2 linked regions of the Neodiprion lecontei genome follow. The protein of the gene in region 1 purifies or fractionates together with the protein of each later gene. This does not show direct contact. Links are inferred from orthologs where the notes say so. Each region holds a gene or a part of one and is shown in the gene's direction. Other genes may lie near its edges.

Region 1 (4,294 bases):
TTCTAGGTAGAAAATGAAAATTAGTTTTCCAACTGTTAGCGGAAAGTCTAGTATTCGTTACTATTCATTCTCATTACGATCACCGTTGCTATATTTTCTTGCAACTGTTGCGAAAATTTAATGCTTGTGCAACAATAAATTGCTGTTAATGCCTTGTTTAGCTAAAAAATTAGAGTAAGCCTAACAAATTGATTTTGTGTTGCAATTACCAAAAAAGGATCGACAATAGCGCAAAATGGTTACGCGTACCTCGTTTTTCGTCATCCCAACGTCATTCAAACAGTTTTTTTTAACGATACCTGTTTTACTGAATTTCTCTAGTTTATATAGCAAATGAAATTTTTCTCAGTGTACGACAAATGGCACCATCGGAAAAGTAATTTTAATTGAGAGAGCGAAATTTCTCAAAATAGATCGAGCCTTGAAATCATCTAATATACATGTTTCAGCGTATCAATTATCATAGATGTGTTATTTTTTTTTCTTACACATACAGCGCATGGCACACTAATCTTCTGTGCATTGAAAACTGCCTAGCAATCTCACATTACAATTGTTCGGTCCTGCATACCCGAACGAACGTTTTTATAGTTTTATCGTAAGTTTAAGGTGAAGGTTCGGTACAATTGCTTGCTATGAGAAATACCTGTCCTAGAGGGTTCATGATTTTTTGTGCAGCTTGATTTGCATTCGCGAAGGACCCTCTACTATGGCCGAAAAAAAAAACCTATTACCATTTCACAAATTCTATCTTTTGACTCAATGAACATATCATCAAATTCATGCATCGTTTTTTAGATTGTAAGTTCTCATATGAATAAAAAAAAGGGAGCTCTAAGGAATAATCACCGGCTACGGCGTTTCGAATTTACGGTGCAAAATTTCGTTTTTGACGGTAAAAAAATCTTTTTCGTCGTCGTACCGAGTTGTGAATCTTTTTTCCTGCACAATTTCGCATAAAGAAAGTACTTCAAGAATGAAAAAAAAAATGCGACATTTTTTGTCAATTATTTATAATTCATTTACTTTATACATATGTTTCATCGAAAACCACTGTTCAAGGGACAGCAAAAATTATCGCGTTTCTCGTGAATGGAACAAAAATTTTTTTTTTAATTCACAGAAGATATGGCGATAAGTATTTTAGAAGAGTCCTGCGAGGTCTCATATTCTCAGAAAATATCATTGCCTTCCACGCGACATTGACCCTGACTCCGTGCCGATCCGGGCCTTCGCGTATTTTTTTCCATCCCTGGAGTACTTTTTTTTATACAAAATTGCGTATGAAAAAAGGTTCACAAACCGATGCGACGACGAAAAAGATTTTTTCACCGTCAAAAACGAAATTTTGCACGATTATTGCGCAGCGCTCCCGATTTAGTTATACCGTGCATACGAGAACTTGTAATATGAAATGTTACGCGTCGATTTCATGATATCTTCATTGAGTCAAAAGATAGAATTTGTGCAATGATCATAGATTAATTTTTTTATTTTTTGCAAATAAAGTTGCACAAAAAATCGTTAACCCTCTAGGACCGGTATTTCTCACAGCTATGAAGCGCACCGAAAACTCCCCTTAAAATTGTATCCAAAATAATGACTATTCTGGAAGGGAGTAATGACCCAGGCCACGTCACTCTGACCCTGCATTCCTGGACAGGAAATCGCATTTGGCGAGTCAATAACCGCGTTTCGGGACGACGTACCTGAAGACCATAATGACACCTTCTAGCAATTGTACAATCGTCGAAGCTTACCCCCAATTAACGCTGGCGCAGGTGTATCCGCATTTACGACACGCAGGTAGGCGCCACATGTACTACGTGCAGCAACCTTTCGGGGGAGGGCGGGGTCAAAGGAAATCGCAAGGGTCCTTTATTGTTCTATTTCCCACTTCGGACATACCTGCCCCTCCCTACCACTCGCGATGTGTCCAGCCTGTGGTATAAAAGTGCAGTTCGTCGTATGCAAAAATCAAATAGCAGAGAACCACCACGGAGTTCGCATCTTGCTGGTTCCTCGGTTGAATTTCCTCTGCAAACTCTAACAGTGAATTAGTCAGTGATAATTTCATCGATTCGATAACTTGCGAGTGTCCTGTGAACCGCGACGTGTGCAGTGTTGGATTCAAGTTGGCAAAGTGATCGCAAAGCCCCAACTGATAACTGATAAAAGTTGGATTATTTGATAACTGGCGAAAGGTGAATGAACAACTAGCTTGTGTACGGACAATTTCGTTGCATATAAGTTGCATATGCGTAAACGAATGTTACCTCGCTTGTGATTGTTTGAAATTTGTTCGCGCTTGTTTTCCGGCTATCCTAGCATTAGTTCGTGATTCAAACGAAGCTGGTAATACGCGAACGCCATCTGTGGTTGAAAACCAGACGCAGCAACGCTTGTTAAATCAAAGCGTTTGTGATCGTAGGGAAGAAAAGTGGAAAAATAGGGAATCGAGAACTATAGAACATTTCCTCGAATATACGTAAATTTGTGACTTAATTAGTATTTATAAGTGATAATGGCGTCAACGGACACGAAAAACGATCAAGGTATACTGAATTCTATCCTGTTTATCCATGATAAATCACCTTGAATCATATCTTTCTTTTTCTAACCTCAAACATTATAAACAATTATATATAGAATCATTCCGAACAACAATGTTTACAGCATTAATCGACGTGCTAAGCTCAGTTTTCACCTGTTTCACCTCAACCATCGAAATGATAGCACCATATTTGTTGTTACATATTAAATTTTATTCTTTTCGTTACTGTTATTGTTGGCATCATTCATTGTTTATTATTGTTCACGTTAAATTTGGCAACTAAGCTTAGCAGTTTGAATTTTGAATCTAATGAATCGATTGCTTACTTTGTTAAATAAATAGCCGTTGACCTTATATTTTTATTTACATGCCAACTATAGAGAAAGATTTCTTTGACGCAGGTGGATCATTCATTCCGGCAAGTCAGCGTCCGGATGGCACTTGGCGCAAACAGCGAAGAGTAAGGGACGGCTACATACCTCAAGAAGAGGTTCCACTGTAAGTATAAATACATTCGAATAGATAATCGAAGAAAAAATTATGGAAAATTTTTCATTCAATGTCAATGATTCATGTTTGTTGTACTTCAGCTACGAGAGTAAGGGCAGGCAATTCAGTAGAAATCGGCCTAGTTATCCTGTTGGAATGACCGCTGAGTTTGTGGCGGCCCACAAAGCAAGGAGAGAAGCCGAAGCAGCAAAGTCGGCGCAGATACCAGGTCTGGTAAAAGCAAACGATAACAAAAAGAAGAAAAAGAAGAGTAAGAGTAAAGCAGTCGACGCAGTGACGGAAGGTCTCTCTAAAACGACAATATCACCACCCGTTGTAGAGAATGGCAAATCGGCGAAGCCGAAATGCCAGAAAAAGCCGGTGACCAACGACACAAATGTTATTCCGACCCCAAGCAATAGCTTGCCCACTCAAAACACAGATCCAGCGAAAAGGCTCAAAAACTTGAAAAAAAAGTTAAGAGAGATTGAAACCATAGAGCAGAAGATAAAATCAGGAGAATTGAAAATTCTTGAGAGAGAATTGTACGACAAAGTCATGAGGAAAACAGAGGTTCTAAAAGATATTGAACAGCTGGAAGCAAACCACTAAACGGCTATCAAACTCCTATTTTATTATTATTATTGTTACTTTGAGTTTTTCTGCTTTTTACACTTGTCACCCTTTATCGGTACAAAATGTAATTGTGCCATTTAGGATAATTATTGATGTTTGCTGTTTTATTATATTAATATTGAGTGGAATTTCGAAATAATTATGATAATAGTAGGAATAATAATTATTGTTGTAACATAGTTTTCAAAACTATTCGTACTGTACAGTAAATTCTCTATCCTTGAAATGCACGTGATAATTATTTGAAAAATAACGATGTATAATCTAAATTAGTATGTTATATGATTTTTATTTAATGTATATGTATACATTTTTGGCTAAATGCTTACATGAGCATTTTAACGAATTATTGTAACAATCAACAAGTACAAGTACTTGATGTGCATAACTTTAACTGTATTAACCGAAGACCTGAAATTCATAAATTTATTATGAAATATCGATGATACTAAATGTTGAAGGAAATATAGAATAAAAATTATCATTTAAAAAATTCCCCGTAATGTTCAAGCTAGTGTAACAATAGATTAGATTAGAATACTCCCAAATTTTATTAGCAAATAAAATAAATTCATCATCATTGACCAAATGTTTAATAAAACAGAGATGATTTAA
Region 2 (3,692 bases), about 36 Mb from region 1:
TTGCTGTAGATGAGTAATCCTGTTAATTACTTGTAATTTTCATTTCTACTCACTTATTCGCTGCCATTTGCAGACCCAACTATCTTCAGGGCTCATTACTGCAATCATTCTGAAACCGTACAAAGAAAATATGTAAATGAGTCGAAAAAATTATATAGGGCTTAAAAATTAATATCAGCTAATTAAGACACTGAGAAAAATGAATATTGAACTTACCCATCAAAATTTGAGCTTGTGCAATCAAACACGTTATCCTTGTTGTTTTTCATGCGAAGAAATTCGTCACAGTTATCGCAGCCGTCAAATTCAAACTGATCGAACGTCTGTAATATTTTAAAGCAGAAATAAGTACTCAATGTGAGATGGATTATATAATTATTGAAATTTGCAAATTTGAAAAGGTAGAGGAGTCTTTCTCTGTAATTTGGTGGTGAATTTGAACAGTCTCCTGTCAAGTTCATTTTTAAATTGCAACGAATGAAAAGACACCATTAGTTTTGTATTATAATATTGGTATTGATTTGCCTATTAAATATATATAATATAGTACATTTTTGTAAATATTTTTATATTATATTTTAAATCGGCTACAAGGGACTGTTTTTGAACCCTTGGGATACTTTTTAAATCATATTAGGACAAAAACTAAATCAAATCAAAATATTATTATGAAAAAATATTATGCATTATACAATACACTTCCAACGTCTTATAGAAAAATCTCGGTACATTGCAACAAACGGCAAATATTTTGTCTTATAACTCTAAACTGAGTTCGGGCCACATCAGGAAACTGTTTTCCGAGGTGTTACAAAAATTGTAATAAATAAATTAATTGAAATTTGGTGGCGAAGTTATCAAATCCATAAAAATGACTGTTATATATTTCGAAAAATAACTTTGTTTAATGTTTACTTGAAAACTTTTTGTTATAAAAATGCCTGGGACAGCGAGTTGCCTACTTACAGAGAAAGACCCATTATATATAGACTAGATAGGATAGCTTTTACTGGGCTCAAAGTTTGGTTATGTTTGGAAGAGATGATAACATTACCTTAATCAGTGAACAGACTAAACATGCTCGCAATCCACGTAAATCTTTGGGTACAGTCTCCATTGACATGATTAATCTGCGGCTGCTTCTAACTTGTTGAACTAAATTAATCTCTTTTTAATAAATTAACTTCAGAACGCTTAATATGGACGCTGACAGGTCGTTCGTGAACGTCAACAAAGAACTGAACTGCACTGAACCAAGTACTGAACTGCACTGAACCAAGTACTGAACTGCACTGAACGAAGTACTGAACTTGACTGAACGACACTGAACCAAACACTGAACTATATGTATATGACTGAAACCGGGAACCTGTGCTTGCTATTCCATTCCAATGGTGCGTTCCGAAACTAGGTGGCAGGGTTAGAGCATATACAGTAGGCAGTGCTAAAAACTCTCTAGGAAGACCATGATAGAGGGTATTATACACTGCGAGCACTGTAAGGTGTGACGTCAATTTAGTATACTGCGAAGCCGTTCCTTTATAGTTAGCTATACTGGTTACTGTTTAAAACGGAACGCAGTACAGTATACTGTGATCGACATTTTTCGGCGTTACTTTCATTTCATACATAATATTTGTCTCACACTGCAATAGATAAAATTTCTTCAAATTTTCCATTTTTGTTTTTAACGGCCGGTATTTTTAAATGACAATATTCAATAATAATAATTATCAATAGTGGAAGCTGTTAAATTTCTGAACGCTGTTGATAACGTGATCAAAGCACTGAGAGCACCTTACCTCGAAAACACCAGTGTTCACAGCAGAAAAATGGCGACAATTTATGACGTCATATATTTCCCTAGGATACTGCGACTATACTGTCAGTCTATAACGGAACGAATTTCTCCCCAGTAAGAGCACTGAACAGTGCTCGCGGTGTATATCGGAACATACCCAGAGTGAGTCACTACATTCGTCATTTTCACCCAATCCGAGAACCGTCAAATTTCCAATCTACCTAACCATCGCCCATCTAAAATTTCTATGCTCCGAGGCTGATCGTGTCATTCCAGCATTGCAAAGGAGCGGTTAGCGTCCGACACTGGCTTTGTGAAGTTAATCGATCACGTACTTGTTGTGAAGCAATTTGCGGTTATATTACATTGCAAAGTAAGTCAGTGAGGAAAGAGGAAGATGTCGACAGATTTCTATATACGCTACTACGTAGGCCACAAAGGTAAATTCGGCCACGAATTTCTCGAGTTCGAATTCAGGCCAGACGGAAAATTGAGGTACGCCAACAATTCGAACTACAAAAACGACACGATGATCCGCAAGGAAGCGTACGTTCACAACTGCGTTATGGAAGAACTGAAGAGGATAATACAGGATTCGGAAATAATGCAAGAGGATGATTCTCTATGGCCGCAACCGGACAGAGTCGGTCGACAAGAATTGGAAATTGTCATCGGAGACGAACACATTTCATTCACAACATCTAAAACTGGTTCGCTACTAGACGTCAATCAATCCAGGGATCCGGAAGGACTACGATGCTTCTATTACCTCGTCCAGGACCTCAAGTGCCTCGTGTTTTCGCTCATCGGTCTCCACTTCAAAATAAAACCGATATAAACGGTTGCCATCATCGTATATCCCCCCCTTTCCCCCGCCAGTCTCGATGGTTATGTGTACGAGTAATACAAATAAAATGAAAACAATGTATTTATTATTCTGTTGATAACTTCATGTTTGTTTTCATCTATAAATCTGCACTTAGTCTTTCGTACAGCAATTCCATCACTATAAAAAATACATCCTTAAACCGTGCTTGAGATCCAGCTTAAGTTTATTGCTAAGTTAGGTTATGTTGGACATTGCATATTATTTTTCTCGCATATAAATATTGACCGTCAGAGCAAAAGACTAGTGTATCAGTTGGGGTGCTTGAAAGCTTCAAGCGACAGTTAAACGTGGTTTTATTTTTATAAATTTTGTTCAGATGAAATAGTGATTCCATTTAAAACATTGGAATGGAATTAATTATCGAGCCGCGCACATATATTTAAATAAAGATAATTGGGCAGGAATATATCCGAGAATTGAATAAAAGAATTTCAAATTATATGTTCTTATTTCTAATATGTACTTTTCTTCCCTTCGTTAGTCTCACAACGGCTTTAAACATTGATGTGCGATGCACAGGACTGATGTTTGTAGCCCGGAATTTAGAACACAACTATCTCTCTCACACCGGCCCCCACTTCGTCGCGTGCGGTCTAGTCTGTATAGCGTTCGTGGCGTAGGGCATGTAAGGTGGTGTTCACGGCCCACGGAGTCAGTCTGTGACAGTTCGTGAATGACTGTGTTTTCGCGTGTTTGAGCTCATCTGAAATTTCCCGGGTTTAGTCAAATTGTGGAAGGTACGCAAATCACCCATATCGATTGTACATTACGCTTATTGTTCAAATATCTCACGCTAAACGATTGCACGCAGTATGTAATTTGCTGATATTTTTGCTATTTTATAGTATAAAGTGAAAGTCTTCGAATGCCTCATTTTTCAATTGGTTCTGAGCCTTACCGTCTTCCATCTTTTTTGGCGGGATGACCAAACCATTGAATCAAACACTTGGCTATATAGGCATATTTTGGCGAGGCACTGGTATAGATACCAAAATGAACCAA

The links. Proteins that work in one complex are often made in the same cells at the same time.
Region 2: the proteins of partner of Y14 and mago (region 1) and protein mago nashi homolog purify together in Drosophila melanogaster (affinity purification with western blotting; 4 studies listed by BioGRID, with this or other methods). This does not show direct contact. The link is inferred for Neodiprion lecontei from reciprocal best matches to the Drosophila melanogaster genes Pym and mago.

What each region holds. Positions count from the first base shown.
Region 1 is NC_060261.1:39,573,576-39,577,869, forward strand, and holds partner of Y14 and mago, read left to right. Parts: upstream 1-2,236; 5' UTR 2,237-2,524; coding exon 2,525-2,555; intron 2,556-2,955; coding exon 2,956-3,052; intron 3,053-3,144; coding exon 3,145-3,655; 3' UTR 3,656-3,659; downstream 3,660-4,294. UniProt on the Drosophila melanogaster protein: Regulator of the exon junction complex (EJC), a multiprotein complex that associates immediately upstream of the exon-exon junction on mRNAs and serves as a positional landmark for the intron exon structure of genes and directs post-transcriptional processes in the cytoplasm such as mRNA export, nonsense-mediated mRNA decay (NMD) or translation.
Region 2 is NC_060261.1:3,555,189-3,558,880, forward strand, and holds protein mago nashi homolog, read left to right. Parts: upstream 1-2,045; 5' UTR 2,046-2,198; coding exon 2,199-2,639; 3' UTR 2,640-3,129; downstream 3,130-3,692. Other genes in the region: transcription elongation factor SPT4, read right to left, coding at 54-109, 217-323, 1,055-1,123. UniProt on the Drosophila melanogaster protein: Core component of the splicing-dependent multiprotein exon junction complex (EJC) deposited at splice junctions on mRNAs. Involved in exon definition of genes containing long introns, including the rolled/MAPK gene.